Linked DNA regions of Tribolium castaneum. The protein of the gene in region 4 binds, or shares a complex with, the protein of the main gene of each other region. Links are inferred from orthologs where the notes say so. Each region holds a gene or a part of one and is shown on either strand. Other genes may lie near its edges. The genes, in order: Polr3I, Polr3F, Polr3K and Polr3C.

Region 1 (3,633 bases), on a different chromosome or scaffold from region 4:
TAAAGCTGCGTTTTTTAGGCACTGGGGACAGGTCCGAAGTGCCGTTTTTCGAAGGGATTGCAGGTTTGGGGGGATGGCCATTCTGGGCCCCGTTTTCCAAGTCAAGCGACAAACCTAACCATTTCTGCAAAAATTATCACTCTGTTACCTTGTCTGCCCGTTTTTAGTTGTGCAAATACACACATTTCCCGTTTTTTTCATGATTTTATTCGAGATTGTTTGAAACTTGTTGACATTCGGATTGACAGTCAGTGGTGCCAGAACGTGACCAATTTCGATTTTAAACAATTAAAACACGTTTAAAAAAATATTTGGGCGCAATTTTCGGTTACAAAATTGGTGGTTGGCCAATTTCTTGAGCCGTATTCAATTAATCGCCCAAAATAATAAATTTTTTGAAAAAATAGTGTCAGTGCTTAGTGAATCAGTGTCGCCAACGCAAGATCTACACGACCGTGTCTATTTTGGGGTTAGGTTTGTTTCTCAAAAATTTCATTTTTTGGCCATAATGTCGGTGGAAGAGAAGCTCCAGATGGGCCCCAGAACGGGGGTGACGTACCCCTTGCAAGTGATCTACTGTGGCAACTGTTCGATGCCGATTGAGGTTAGTTGTCGCCCCTTCAGACCTTCCGAACTAATTCTTGCCCCAGTATTGCGAGTATTACCCCGAGTATGACAAATGCAAACAATGGCTCGAGCGTAACTTGCCCGATGAGTTCGAAAAAGTGAAAATCGGGGACGAGGCGGGCGAGGGAGGTGGCGCTGAAGAGGAAAAAAAGCGTCAGAAACGTGGGGGTAAAGGCATGATCAAGACGAAGAAGAAGGAGGACGGGCCGAAGCAGGTGTGTGTGTCGAGGGCCCCCCGCGGCAAGAAGAAGTCGGTTACCGTGGTTACGGGGCTTAGTGGGTTTGGTAGGGGGGTTAGGGGGCCCTGAGTGTCTTGTTTGACGCGTTTTTGTAGATATTGATCTGAAAGTTGCGGCGAAATTTTTCGGGACCAGGTTTGCGTGTGGGTCTTCAGTCACAGGTGAGGACGAAATTGTGATCCAGGGGGACGTCAAGGACGATTTGTTTGATGTGATTCCCGAAAAATGGCCAGAGGTACCACACTGACCGAAAAAAGTCACTAGTTATAGGGGCACTTGTTTTTGTTGCAGATTGATGAGGACTTGATTGAGGATTTGGGTGACCAAAAGCGATAACTTATCATAAATTCGTGTATTTATACTTATTCTCAATACATTATGTCGTTTTTCACGCCAGTGTTTTATTATTTACTATCCTAATACAATCACAAAATTATTCCTGCTCCTCTGTTGTTTCGTTTTCTTGGCTTTTTTGGATGTGGGGGAAGTGCTGAAGCACGATCTGTAAAATTTGCTCAACTTGTTCTTCCGTGAGCCTTTCTTCACTTTCTTCAATCATCTAGAAAACACACTTAGAAATAGTCAAATTTTGCGTAAGACCAACCAATTGAATCTCTAAAGCCGTCGTAGGGGGCGAATTAATCAGCATTAATTTCTCATTTTTGTTCAAATTAAACGGCTCCAAGTCCTTCAAACACTCAGTAATTGACTGTGGGCTTTGTTGGGCACAAGGAGTATTTTCCAAGTAACGCAAAGTCTACGAAAAAATTGATGAATGAAAGTCGGCCCATTTACGGCCACTTAATCTAATCACCTCATACGTAATCGTCGCTAATTGCCCCTTGTGTTTTTTCCGGCTGTCCTTAATCCGTTGTAGGTGTTTCATAACCTCGAAATTACTCAAAGTCGCGCTGTTTGCATTAACACTGAAAACACGCCTTAATAATACGTTACTCAAACGTAGCAACTTAGTCTTACATTTCCATCGCATTTAATAATAAAATTAAGAGTGCAAATTGCTTTATTTTTATAATTTTTGAACCACAAATTGGTGACAAATCCAAAAAACCCTAAACTTGTCACAAGTATGGCCAGGCTTCCTAACCTAGCTTTTTTGCGATATTTTTCAAAATACTCCTGTAAATTCGTAAGAGGTCTGATGACGACCCAATCGCGGTGCGAAAAGGCCTTGGACGAGCTTTCCAAAAATGCCTACTACGAGAAATACGCGGACAAAATCGCCAAACTACAAAAAACCTCCCCCCAGGAGTTCCTCTCCCGAATGGACGAACTCAAGAAGGCCAAAGCCCCGAAAAAGAAGCCCGAAACGATCACTGAAGGCAAGTTCTCGCAACTATTAAACCCGAAAAAACCGCTCGGTTCTGTGGAGGCCTCGGAGGCCCCCTTAGACAAAGTCATGAAACTTGACTTAATTAAGGATAAAACCCCGGAGGAAATTAAGGAGATTTGGCACCAGTACCACATACAGAAGAACTACATTGCGGCGGTTGTCCCTGTGGAAGATTACAACGAACTGGAGGCAAGGGGGCGCCAATACCCTACGTTTCTCTTCGCCTTGCCTCGCAAAGAGGGTTACGAGTTTATAATGTCGCAGTTTGAGCGAAACTGCGTCCACTTTACCCCCCTTTTGTACTATCAGGTGCACAAGGAGAACGCCCCCGAGTGCCTCACAATGACGCACTACACCGAACTAAAGGACGAGAAAAAAATCGTCTTGATGCGAGGAGAGTACGACAAGAATGTTATTGATTTGAAGGAGGCCCAGTGTCTCGCAAATCAGTTGCAATTGTATTACGTAAGGCCCACAGAAGCACACTTGGAACTGATGGAGCGGTTCACCAAGCGCCCCGACGAGTTCAAACACATGGACTTGATCAAACAAATCGAGACTTTGTCTTTGTAAATATGTATTATTTAATTCCTAATTGTAAATAAAGTTTGAGTGACATAACCTTACTTTTTGAGTTTTATTTCACCCAATTATTTTCTTGTCCCCAATGTTGATACATAAAGTCGATCATAACATAGCAAATGGCACTATGAGTATGAAATTGAGCGTTTTTTCTTGAATTTTACTGCGAAAATATGACATAACCTAATTTTTTGTTGGGCGAAAATTGGACCAATTTCAAATATTATGATAACTCAAAGGTCCTGTATAAAATGCGATTGTGCGAAATTGCCCAAATGATAGAAATTTTGCCGATTTTTATATTTTATTACCGCTTTTCACTATTTACGTACCAACCTACCAAATCCAAAATTTATCATAACTTGATTTTTTTAAATTTTTATCACTTATTTCACTATTTTCCAACACAAAAGTGCGTTATATTAACTTGAGTTACGTTAAAAAATCGAAAATAACAGTAAGGTGGTACAGTTCACGAACTACGGGTCTGTATTTTCTGACAGGCGTACCAACGCACCCAAATTCAAATCCAAATAAAACGCCATTTTACTTAAAATAATTTATTGAAATTAGGCACTTGATTGAGCTTAGAACCTCTCTTTCGGCTTCCTGAACACTTTCCCGTGCTGCGTATCCTCCAAGCAGGGGATTTGCACTAAATTAAAATAAATGGTCCCCATAATGTGCGCCGTGGGCGAGGGATTTTCCTTGAGACACGAATACAGCTGATCGTCGCACAAACAATGCGATTTCGTGTATAACGAATCATTCGTTATGTTATATCTTTGTGAAAAAGCCCTAACTTTAACGGGACACAAATCGTGCGCTCTGCAG
Region 2 (3,668 bases), on a different chromosome or scaffold from region 4:
GAACAAGTACACGTCTTCGGCCATGTCAACAAAGGACGTCCGTTTTGTCTGACTCGCCAAGTACAGGAGTGGTATTTTGAGCTCAGCTGGGAACTCTTTGAGGCTTTTCCTCGCGTTTTCCTCGCTTTCCAGCGCCTCGGCATACGTTAAATTCGGTTTTCCCGTCATCGCACATGTCCAAATCATCGAATTGCACAGGAACATCCTCTCGGAGAAGTCCCTGAAAAGCCAAGCGTTGAATCGATTCCGATCTCCGATTGCGTTAAATTTGAGGTCGATGGCGTAGGTACAGTGGACCGTTAGGTCAAGCGTTTGAAAGCAACCACGTTCCAAATAACCCGCCGCAAAAACTCACTCGTAATCCCGGAAAATCTCGTTGGTGGCCCCACAGTAGAAAACTTCCTCGTCATCGCGGATATCCTCCGGGACCGGCGCTTTTTCGAAGGGCTTTCTCCTCAAAAGAGGCATCGCAATTTGGAGGGAAAACTCACGACTCCACAACAAGTCTAATCAGAATTGCTCCCACATTTACAACACACACAACGCAACACTGATGGATTAGCAACCAAATCTGACATGAAATGGCGAGATTCAAAGCGAACTAACCGAAAATTTCCGCAATAAAATTGCGTTTCTCACACCATTCATGACAAACAGACAACCTCTTCGGCTTCGGGGCTCCGGCGCATGCGCGGAGCGCAGGTGACTGCCAAAAGCTGTGCCCAAGAACGGACATTTAAAAAACCTGCGACCACCAAAATGTTCCACACTTTTTTGTGGTTATGTTCCCCCACAAACATAACCTTAATTAATTAATACGGGATAAAAAAAACACCAGTTTGTTGCGAAACACTTTATTCGAGCCATTCCGTGAAATAATTACAAACTTTCGGGTTAATAAAACCGGTATCGGCGCACCTGCTGGCTATGGGGCAAACCCCACAAGTGGTTGTCACAATGCCAGGTGTTTGCATAAATTTATTGACCGCTCGGTACAAAAACGAGCCGTTCGTGGCCACAATCCGCTCCGCGTTATTATCCAAAACAACAGTATACAAAATGCTCTCAATATCGTCCACTGACAGCGAAATTTTACTAATCCCCAGCTCGGAAATAAATTTGTGGACGTCTTGCGCCGTGGCGTAGCTCCGGTTTCGGGCCAGGAGCGGGCCGCCCCCCATGCTGTTCGCATCCTCCCACTTCTGGCGCAAATACCGGCAGCACTGTTGGCTCAAAACGTCCACAAACTCCGACTCGAAGTCCTGGTCCTGGTACCAGGCGCCCCCCGTGACCGAACTGTCGGCCTCCAAGTCGTACAACATGTACACTTTTTTCTTACTGGCCGAGACTGACTTTACGGCTTTGATTATTTTTTTCGTCTCGAGACTTTTGAGGACTTTGTTTAGTTGCGTCATGTTGAGGTTGGACTTGAAGCGAATGTCTCGAATCCAAATGCCCTTGTTGCCAGCCTCTTCGATTATCTTAAACACGACTTTTTCCTCGTTGTCGGCCCCCCGAATGGCGGGCTTCTTCGACGAGTCTTTGTATTTGTAGAGGAGCTTGTCTTTGGTCTTGAACAACTCCAAGGAACTGAAAATTTTGGTTAGGAATAGAATTAGGGGGTGATTGCGCCCACGAACCCATTTTTTAAACACTTGTTGATTATCAGGGCGAGTTCTTCGAGGGGTAAATTAGGAATTGCCTGTTTTATGTTCTCGTTTGAAATCCCCTCAGGCTTGGCCTTGGCTAATTCCAGTAAACGGTCTTCGTTACTTATCTCTTCGCTGTTTGAACTCGTAGCTTGGCTCATTTTTGGGGTTATGTGAGGTTATGTTCTAACCTCAAAATTTTGGCCTATTTCTATTTTTGCCGATTTTTTTTAGGAAAAAAGGCAAGAAATGAGCGCCTGGTCTTTGATAAACACATTTAATAGGTGTGGTATAAGTTTGGAGTAATTGGCACTAACTGTGACATTTTTTAGGCTAGCCCTCCAGTCGTGCCCAAGACGGGGAATTGCAACGAGTGTCTTTCTCAATTTTAGGGCAACACCATGTCTCATGTAAGTAATAACGAAACGAGGCCCCCAATTCACCAATTATCTAGGGCCGAGCCTTTGAAGAAGAAGAAAAAACTAGACCCTGCAGTTATTAAAGCACGAGAAGACCGCAAGAAGAAGAAAATTGAGAAGCAAATCCGGCGATTGGAGAAGCACGCGCGCCAGTTCAAACCTATCGAAGAGTGTGAAGTGCCCCTCACTCTGTTAGATGAGAAAAAATCAAGGATGAGGTCTTTGCCTGCACTTTCTGACAGTGAATTGGAACAAAGAGCACTTTTGGACAAACAATGGGCCACTTATCGGAAAAATGAGCATCTTACGGACGTCCAAATGCTGGACCGGATTTTCTTTGCGCAACAAAAAGCCTTGGATGAGCTGCGGAAAGAGTCGGAGGAGTTGTATCAGGAAGCAATGCAGGTGACTGGGGCTTTTTTTCGCAAAATATATTTTTTTGTCCAGATTGATTTCAGATTATTGCCCTTTAAGAGCGAGGGGCCTTTGGAAACGCCAGCTATCGACAATTACGAAAGCCCGGACGGTGATTATGCCGATGTTTCGAAAAAATGGGAATGAAAAGGAAATAAATAAAGTAGGATAATAATAAATAGACAAAATTTGTTTTATTCACACTTCAAAATCACTTCAAATTCACACTTTTTATTATTGTTTACGTAACAAATTACGTGTCCGACCGTTTCAAAATAATAAAAATTGCCCCTATTGTTGGTAATTTGATGGTAAAATTGTCTCAAGGCGCCCTAAACCCCAAACCCAGCACAATGATCCCAGTTCCGGACCGAAGAGATAAAATAAATTTAGCTTATTTACGTCAGCTCATTTGAAATTGTAGGTTAGGTGAATCTATTTTCGTCCAAAATTCAAGAATGTAGATAAAAATTAGCCCCCGAAATGGTGCAAATAATGCTAATTATCGCCGCCGCCCATTTGGTATACTGCCCATTTACCAAAGTGGAGGAAAGCTTCAATTTACAGGCCATGCACGATATTTTGTACCACAAGTGGAACCTGTCTCAGGTAGGCGCCCCTTGTCTCGCCCACAAATAACTGTGTTTCTAGTACGACCATTTGGAGTTCCCCGGAGTGGTGCCGCGGACGTTCATCGGCCCCTTGTTCATTTCGATTTTGGTGGCCCCCATAGTCTCGCTTTTGCAGTTGTTCGAAATTAACAAATTTTGGGCGCAATATATCGGTAATCAAGTTGAAAAATAGTACAAAAATTGTGATTTTTTATTACAGTGCGGTTTGCTTTGGGGGGCTGCGTTATCGCCGCTTTCCACGTCCTGTCCCGCACTTTGGCCAAGATTTTCGGGCCGAAGTGGCAGCTGTGGTTCATGGCAGTGACGGTGACCCAGAGCCACTTTATGTTTTACTTGAGCCGGCCCTTGCCCAACATTTTCGCACTGCCGCTGGGTAAAAGCCCCCATCTCCCTTGATTTTAATTATTATACGACCGGTTTTAGTGCTCCTTGCGTTGAATAGTTGGCTCAAAGGCGACAGCAAACAATTTATTTTGCTTTCGGGGGCCGCTATTATCATATTCAGGGCCGAACTGGCCCTCTTCCTCGGCCTACTCCTACTGTACGATTTGATC
Region 3 (3,283 bases), on a different chromosome or scaffold from region 4:
TATGAGGAACTGTACCAAAATTCTGAATTATGTGCGTTAGTTTTTGAGAATTGGAAAAAATGCTAAATCCTTTGTTACCTGGTCTATGATTTGTCGATGTGATATGACAAGTAAGGGGGCCCAGAAGCTGGGCTCTGGCCGTTCGTCAACATCTGCAATGGCCCTTTTGAACCTTTTACTCAAGGAGTCCTTCAAACCGTGCAGAAAAATAGCTTCAATCGTCATACACAGCGTGTTCGAAGCTTCGGTAACATCCTCAGCTTTATTGAGTCCATTTTCTTCAACTCCGCAATACTGTATCGCTTTCACACTATTCGACAAGTGATCCGTGATCGACTTCTTAATTAAATTGTCTTTATTACTCGACGTGTGCACACTTTTAAACAACTTATTCATGTTTGTTAATTAACCCGAACTTGTGCAAAATCGCAACAGTTTTATCAACCGCAATACCGTGTCGCACGATTGTGAACAAACCGCATTCTGATAAGTCAATAACGGTGGACGCACGTCGTCTCGAATCGTCAAGTCCTAAATTACCACCGTCAAAAACTGCACCAACCTGAGCCCACAAGTCTTGAAATTCGTTGATTGTTAACGAACTTGGCTCGTTGCTTAAATTGGCACTTGTGAGGGCCAAAGGGCGTCCCAAACCGCGGGCCAAAGCCCGAATAAAGTGATAATCGGGGATTCGAATCCCCACTTTAGCGTTAAAACTGAGTGACTTATCAAGTGTGCTTGCACTAGTCAGAATGACAGTCACTGGGCCTGGGAGCAGACTTTCGAGCAAACCTTGGGGCAAGTGCCCGATTTTGGCCCAAGCCTTCACCTGGGGGACGTCCCCGAGACAGATCGCCACAGGTTTGGCTTCGTTGCGCCCCTTAATGCTATAGAGTTTGTTAATTGAGGTTATGTTCGTCGCGTCACAGGCAAGTCCGTAGACGGTGTCCGTAGGGAGGGCGATCACGCGGCCCGACTTTAACAAATCAACGGCTAAAGCCTCAGCATGTGGGTCCCTGATGGGGACGTGCAATGCCATAGAAGCCCGCTTCGGGGAGAGTTTTTTGAAAAGGGGGGCGAAAAAACGCATCGCCTACTCTCGCCAGTTGTGGGCGCATTCGGGGTTGCAGCAGCGGTAGAAGTTGGTCATGGGCTCGTCAGCAGAGCGGGTCTGGACCTGGAGGAAGTAGGCGTGGGGGTGGCTGCATTCTGGACACGTTTCCGCTGTTACGTCGCAGTTTTTCCAGGCGTCTTCGCCGCCGAGCACGTCATCAACGGACTGAAAGCGTGACGGAGTTGGAACAATGATAGTGGGTTATTTGGGTTTTACCTTCACTTGGAAGTACGTGCGATTCGAGATTTTTCCACGAATGGGGAATGACACGGGGCAGATGCGACACGCAAAACCTAATCGGCCGCAGGTCTGTTGAGCGAATAGCAAATTTCCACAGAAAGGACAAAACACAACCATGACCCGTGATTATTATGATGAAATTCAACTTGAATTCACATGTGTCAAAAATTGACAATGACAGCGCACGGTGGGTTGGCAGCGCTGGGGCGAGGGCACCAACACAAAATTCGTATTCTATTTTATTTAAATTATAAATTATAACAAATATTCAGCCACTTACGGCCTTAGTTATTTTGTCAACTAATTACTTCACTAATTTGCTCCGCTTTTTATATAGTCGAATTAAATAAGACATATTTTCAATTAAAATAAACAAGGACAATTTTACAATGATTAATTTAATTTAAAATAATATGGTTCAAACATTTTCCTATACCACATTACTTAACTAAGTAATAAAAAAATTATAAGAATTACAAAGAAAAATAATTAAAAACGTTGTGTTTTATGGGTTGCCTATACTAAACTCGGTGGTATTGAGCACTTGGTTCATTTTGTTAATTTCGTTTTAAAGGTTTTGATTTTTATCTCTCTCGCTAAATGAGAATTCAATATAATTTTTTCAATTTTCCTGACAAAAAAAATAAACACTATGGTAATTGGTTCAAAATCATTAGGATAATTTACAAGGGCCGTAGCCAGCGTAGGGCCCCACAGGGCGAAGCCCTTCCTAAACAAATTTCAGGTCATACGTTTTATAAAAATTTAAATAGAGAAGTTTATAATATTTTTTTTTCTTTCTTTGTTATTACTTAAGTAAATTTTGAAATAGACATCATTTTAGCTATTTCAAAAACACCATAAACATGGATGTTTTTTATTTTTTAAAGTTGAAGCGACAGAGGGTCATCAGATGGACATGCAACATCAAGTATGCATTTTTTTTTTAAGAAAAATATATCTAGTAATAATTATTACTCCACTTGGATTTTGACTTATTTTTAGCAAAATTTAATAACAAACGAGAAAGGAAATTAAGCTTTATGAATTATGTTAGGGGAAATACCTACAAAATAACATACATCGTTTGGCAAAAGTATGAAGCTAATTGTTATGTGCCTAAACTATGTACTTTAAGAAAAACTAATTATTACATTATCAACTACTTTAAAAATATTTTTTTAATTCCTTTTAGTTTTCGATTTTTTTTTCAAATAGCACCCTACTACGGCAATTTATTTTTATATTATATTTATATTTTTTATATTATTTATATTTTGTTTTTCTTCGTTTGTTATGTATTTTTGATCCTTTATAAACTTCATTAATAATAATTTACCAACATGAGTACATTTAAATTTTCTTTGCCCTTCTATTATTCTATTCTACGAGGGTGGGATGATTAAGTCGTGGCCTCACATAGAAAATAATAATTTGGCCAAACATTTTTTGCTTTACTTTTCACTATAACCTCCTTCTAGTTATGTGCACTTGGTCAATCGGTGTTCCGAAGTCTTTATCCCATCCTTATGGGTCGATTCCGGTAACTCTTCAAAAAAATTGCTCTCTATAAGAGACCACGAATTAATCCATCCTTGTATTGATAATTCAGGGAGAAATAAGCCTCATTTAAAAAAAATACAAAAACTAATTTTTGACACTACAGAAGCGATATGTAGAAGATTTCTTATTACAGTTGAAATACTCAATACAGTCGTTCCTTTTTGATGTTTGATCATTGATCAATGATCATATTCTAACTCACACAGTGCACATTTCCTACAGTGCCGTACTGAGCCTCGGATTCGTGGAACACGGGCCCGGGTCCCGATGGCCCTTTCCTTTGTCTAAATACAAATTAAAAAAAAAATAAAAGTTATAATATTTTTTATTAGCCGTTAAAATTAGATTAGAAAGACAAAAAATTGT
Region 4 (4,839 bases):
TTTGTTAGAACCTGGTAGTTTTGTTTCACAGACGTAAATTTAAAAAATCTCTAATTCAAAAAAAAAAAACATACAGACTAAAAACTACAGATACTAACAATCTGCTAGGTTAATAATAGTCATTTACTAAGTGAAATATTGTAAATGCTTGGTAAAATAATCTAAATGCAAAGTGATAATTTTCTTTTAATGAGATTTTCTAAGAAATAATAATAGTAATTACTCCTAATAAAACATATACCTCCCTAAGTATCTAACATCCACTTGCTAAGGTAGATATTTGCTATGCTAGTCAAACAATTTTTGATGTAAAAATTTGATTAAAAACCTCTCTAAAAAATAAAAAGTAGTAGCCCCTCTTCTAATTAATAAAAAAAATTGATTTTTTTTTCTTAAATACTATAAATTATCTTCAGTTGAACTTATGTTTTCACACAGCGTTTATATTTATTTTTTACCTAACAATTACTATTTTCACCCAGCATTTAATTTATTCCAAAAAATTACTGGTAGCAGATGTTAAGTAAACCATATGAAAATGAATGATTTTCTGGCTTTCATAATCGTCAAAAAATAATCAATTGAAAGAGTACTTAAAATAATATTACTAAAGATTATATAAATTTAACAATGTGAGCTCCTATACAGACATGTGCGGACAGATATTTTGTCGGTTATTTATCCGCAATAATATTGTTCGGACAAATGTGCAGACGGCTAACCACGGCCAAAATATAAAAATAAGAAAAACTTACGTCAGATAATTGCTCGTCTGCCGCCCCCTGTGCCCTCATCCCCATAATAATCGTGTCAACACGTTGTTTCTTATCGATAATTCTCTTATGAACCAACCTTTCGTGATTTTTTCTAGTCATAATATTAAATAAAGTTTTATAACACAATTCTAGAGTCATTCGCACGATTTGGTCCAAGTTTGTATAAAACAAAGTGAAGCTTTTATTAGGACCATTACTGGTCGATTTTTTCAAATCCTGGACTTGCAAAAAATTCTCTTCCAGGAGCTGATAAGAGAGCCGTTTTGCTTCTTTAGCCGGAATCATTGCCAGTTGTTGAATCTGATCCGGTTCTATGTATTGTTTCGACTTAACAAGACGGAAAATCCGGGCGGCTTTAGTATCGAATTTTTCCAAAACTATCTGTTCCACAGTCTCCCATGCAAATTGAGTGAACGTCTCTTTCAGAAAAATTTGAAAAGAACCGCCACCTGCCTCTCCCGACTGTCTAATTAATTTAGAACTGTCTTGCTCTAAAAAAAAATATTTGGACTGGCAACAACTTTGACTAACGACTAATGACTAACCCAAGACATTAACGTATTGGTCAAAAAACGCCAAAAGGTGTTGATGAGTGGCTTGTTTCCTTACAAGGTCCCGAATTTCAACAATAGGGACTGGATTCGAGACCTCAGCCCAAGGCTGTGTCCTAATGTACATTTGTTGTAGCAAAAGTCTGACAAATTCACCCGCGTTTTCGTCAAACTTTTTAATAAAAGCATTCACAATTAATTTGTCTCTCATGTCTTGATGAAACCTATCGAAGTTAACAGTCCAGTAAACGCCCTGGTCAGGGAGAGAATCCACTGGTGCTTTATTGCTCTGAACTAAGGCAATTTGTTTAAAATCAATTGTCGGAGGTGCAAACTGTTCCGTCTCTTTTATCACTAAACTAGGAACAGGTTTATCTTCCATACTATACGGCAACCGTATCAAATATTGCGCGGCCAACAATGAAAAAAATTTTTCTCTTAAAGCTAAAATTGTCACGTTTTTGTTATGATCTTTTTTCAGTCTCTCAATCACTTTCAGGATTAATTCAGACGCCGTCCAGTAGCTCCGCTGTAGCAATTCTTCCATAATTAATTCACACTCAGTCCCAAATTTCTTTTTAATTAAATTAATGTATTTGGCGTAGCGCAACATTAATAAAACACGCTCATGTTGCAGTGTATAATTTGCAACGTTTTCATTGCGATTGGGGGTGAACGTGACCAATCTGTACTTTATTAAAATACATAAAGCTTCCTTGACCTACAATTAATAAAATAAGGGGCAAAAAGTGCACAGTTTCATTTAAAATACCTTAGATATGGGCAAATCTGTGTGCTTTTTGATGTACAGAAGGGGCACAGTTCCGTACTGAAACAAGTAAGTGCCCACCTTCTCGACCACGGGGCCGAAACGTTCGAGTAAAATAAGGGAAACTACCCTTCCGTATTGAATCGACATCGGGATCAAATAAAAAATATTGCAATGTGATTACTTAGAAAAAATTAGGTTAGGCTGCTTGTCAAAATGTAGAAATACAGGTTTCTTTGTTACCGGGAAAATAATCAGTGGTCCGTGGGTTTTAATTTAATTTAATTAGGAACTAATTTATTGTTTCTTAGTGCAAAGCAACCTAATTCGAATTACTTTAAGTTGGAATTAAAAGTTTCATTTGCTTCGTCTAGGCCATACACTTGTTATATATTTGGTTGCATAAGCAGTTTTTGAATCCTGAATAATAAACTTTTTTTATTGTTAAATATGCAAACGCTTGCCTAAATACATTTTTAAATCGGCAATCGAATTGATTTATTGTTAAAAAACCTGCCACAAGTCCATTAACTGATGTAAATTATTGGCAATAAATAATCCTAATTACATACAGGCATCGGGCCTTCAATTCAGTTTTGAAATTTTTCAATAATAATTTTGTAATTGAGTCTCGTGAAAAATTCATTAGGCATAGGCGCTAAGAAGGTGTAACCTCCATATGCAATTTTTAAATTGTTTACAAATAAGTTTATTAAAAATTTATAAGCAGAAGGTGATGATGAGGTGCGATTTATAGAAACAGATGCGTCGTCGGCTTGTGGGTTTACGAATCCATATTTATGAGATTGTTCATAATTCAATTAATTACAAATTATTCATATAATTTATGTCGTTTTGACTTTACCATTGTGCAACTCCGATGATGGTTTACTTATAAATTGTACTTGCAACTCGACTTTACTACTTTATTAAAAAAAACACGTGGACTTGTAGGTGGCTTAAATCACGACTACTCAAAACACAAATCCGCTTATTAAAAAATAAAGTAAATAAAATTTGAATAAACAAATTTAAGGTCACACATGTGAATAATTGCACAAAATGTTGGCTCCGCCACACCCTCAAATCGTTACTACAAAAAAGTCATAAACAAATGACATCAATTCAATTAGTAAATCAATATAAAAGTAGCAAGTCACGTAAAATAATCCAGAAAAAAATTTAATATCAAGTTTTTTAACCCAGTCATATACAGCAGGTCCATAAATTATTGCCTAAGTAGATGTGACAGGAAGGGGAGCTAGACGGCTTGGTAACAAAAACTGCACGCATGACAAATGATACCGGTCGATTTAAACCGAATTCCTTCATGCCATGAATAAACCGGCAGTGATTCTCAAAACCCACCACAAAAGAAGATTTAACATATTTTAACTCATTAAAAAAATATGAAACTGTGGTGGCTCCTAAACCTGAATATTTTACCCAAAGTAGCCTAAGACTTGAAATTAAGTTGGCAACGTTGACACGAAATTGAAGAGCCCAATGTTGCCAATTTAATTCGATCGTCGTAGGCCACTTGATGACAATGGCATTCTGATATGATCTGCGCCGCCCCCAAACTTAATTTAAATGTTTATTGAAGCATAAGTCGCCTGAAGAAAATATCATCGATCGCCTCGGAAGCTGCAGCAGCCTATGGAAAAGCTTACCTACTCCCACTCTCTTTTTGTGCTTTATCCTCCCGTGTATTCGATAGCGAAAGCGTGCTGTAGAAACAACTGAACATCGCTCACACAGCGTGTCTAGTCGCCGGTGGATTGTGATGTTCTAAATTTTCTCGTCTCGCCGTCTAGATCCTGTCAGAAATTTTAAAATTTCGACGTTTCATGTGACAGTGACAGCATCTAATGAATTAAAGTCACAGTGAATTTTATTTTACGAGCAAAAAATAATGAAATAACTAGAGTCGGTCTAAAGTGTCGTCTACCTGTACGAGGGGTAAGTGGGATTTTCTCTACTTAAATTATTTACCTAGAAGTCTAATGCCTGGCGAGTGGTTTTAATTAAATTTATAGTCCTGCATTTCTAAAAACCATAAAGATATAAAAGTGTCCTCGGTGAGTTATTGCTTGATAAAGACACTTTAATGAGTTGAAAAGTTAAGTAATATTTAAAATAAATTACTTTAATGTCTGTCATTAAACAATTTTCATTCCTCAAATTTCTGGTGCATTTTTCTGTACAAGTTAATTATGTTGTTCAAACCATACCGGTTACGTGTAGGGGAAATAGTAATTAAGCTCTCCAACCCCTTGACATCACGCCCTCGTCTGTATTGTCTAGACCTGAAGTTATTAGAACTAGTTGTTAACAAACCAAAAATATCTTCAAATCACGATAAACTGTCTTTTTCTTAAAAAAAACCTTATCTTTTTGGAATTAACTGATACCAATGTTTGCCCAAAAATATGGCTAAACAATCAAATGCCAGTTCCCTAAGTAAGGACTACATTTACTTTTAAACCAACATTTGCATACTGTAATTATAATAATTTAAATAATAATGATTAATCTGTCTATTAACTGGAGATTAAACTGTCTGGGCTTGTTTATTTATCTCCTGACACCTTTGAAATTAATGTATTGTTACATAATTAATTTGTTTAACAAGGAAAAATAGTCATTATTTTTTCTTTATAGTCGGATTATATGTTCTGTTGCTTTAATTAAACGAACAAATTGTATAATAATCGGCGAGAAATGAAGTTGTGTATAAACT

What was found.
Region 1: Polr3C (region 4) and Polr3I share a complex: the UniProt entries of both Homo sapiens proteins name them as parts of the RNA polymerase III complex. The link is inferred for Tribolium castaneum from reciprocal best matches to the Homo sapiens genes POLR3C and CRCP.
Region 2: Polr3C (region 4) and Polr3F share a complex: the UniProt entries of both Homo sapiens proteins name them as parts of the RNA polymerase III complex. The link is inferred for Tribolium castaneum from reciprocal best matches to the Homo sapiens genes POLR3C and POLR3F.
Region 3: Polr3C (region 4) and Polr3K share a complex: the UniProt entries of both Homo sapiens proteins name them as parts of the RNA polymerase III complex. The link is inferred for Tribolium castaneum from reciprocal best matches to the Homo sapiens genes POLR3C and POLR3K.

What each region holds. Positions count from the first base shown.
Region 1 is NC_087399.1:3,366,696-3,370,328, reverse strand, and holds Polr3I (DNA-directed RNA polymerase III subunit RPC9), read right to left. Parts: upstream 1,954-3,633; 5' UTR 1,853-1,953; coding exon 1,845-1,852; intron 1,793-1,844; coding exon 1,681-1,792; intron 1,624-1,680; coding exon 1,471-1,623; intron 1,426-1,470; coding exon 1,300-1,425; 3' UTR 1,204-1,299; downstream 1-1,203. Other genes in the region: cell cycle checkpoint protein RAD17, read right to left, coding at 1-124, 184-201; DENR (density-regulated protein homolog), read left to right, coding at 509-604, 651-912, 962-1,101, 1,158-1,202; ATP synthase mitochondrial F1 complex assembly factor 1, read left to right, coding at 1,954-2,790. UniProt on the Homo sapiens protein: DNA-dependent RNA polymerase catalyzes the transcription of DNA into RNA using the four ribonucleoside triphosphates as substrates.
Region 2 is NC_087396.1:20,821,025-20,824,692, forward strand, and holds Polr3F (DNA-directed RNA polymerase III subunit RPC6), read right to left. Parts: upstream 1,811-3,668; coding exon 1,641-1,810; intron 1,591-1,640; coding exon 855-1,590; 3' UTR 839-854; downstream 1-838. Other genes in the region: Acf (bromodomain adjacent to zinc finger domain protein 1A), read right to left, coding at 1-220, 356-468; mRpL40 (large ribosomal subunit protein mL40), read left to right, coding at 1,899-1,933, 1,982-2,059, 2,104-2,473, 2,516-2,629; Alg12 (dol-P-Man:Man(7)GlcNAc(2)-PP-Dol alpha-1,6-mannosyltransferase), read left to right, coding at 2,966-3,091, 3,134-3,266, 3,314-3,487, 3,538-3,668. UniProt on the Homo sapiens protein: DNA-dependent RNA polymerase catalyzes the transcription of DNA into RNA using the four ribonucleoside triphosphates as substrates.
Region 3 is NC_087403.1:7,844,299-7,847,581, reverse strand, and holds Polr3K (DNA-directed RNA polymerase III subunit RPC10), read right to left. Parts: upstream 1,557-3,283; 5' UTR 1,472-1,556; coding exon 1,331-1,471; intron 1,280-1,330; coding exon 1,094-1,279; 3' UTR 1,091-1,093; downstream 1-1,090. Other genes in the region: Plekhm1 (pleckstrin homology domain-containing family M member 1), read right to left, coding at 79-396; Tcs1 (threonylcarbamoyl-AMP synthase), read right to left, coding at 389-1,090. UniProt on the Homo sapiens protein: Core component of RNA polymerase III (Pol III) which synthesizes small non-coding RNAs using the four ribonucleoside triphosphates as substrates. Can mediate Pol I proofreading of the nascent RNA transcript.
Region 4 is NC_087402.1:6,496,703-6,501,541, reverse strand, and holds the start of Polr3C (DNA-directed RNA polymerase III subunit RPC3), read right to left. Parts: upstream 3,482-4,839; 5' UTR 2,247-3,481; coding exon 2,100-2,246; intron 2,049-2,099; coding exon 1,322-2,048; intron 1,268-1,321; coding exon 756-1,267; intron 1-755. UniProt on the Homo sapiens protein: DNA-dependent RNA polymerase catalyzes the transcription of DNA into RNA using the four ribonucleoside triphosphates as substrates.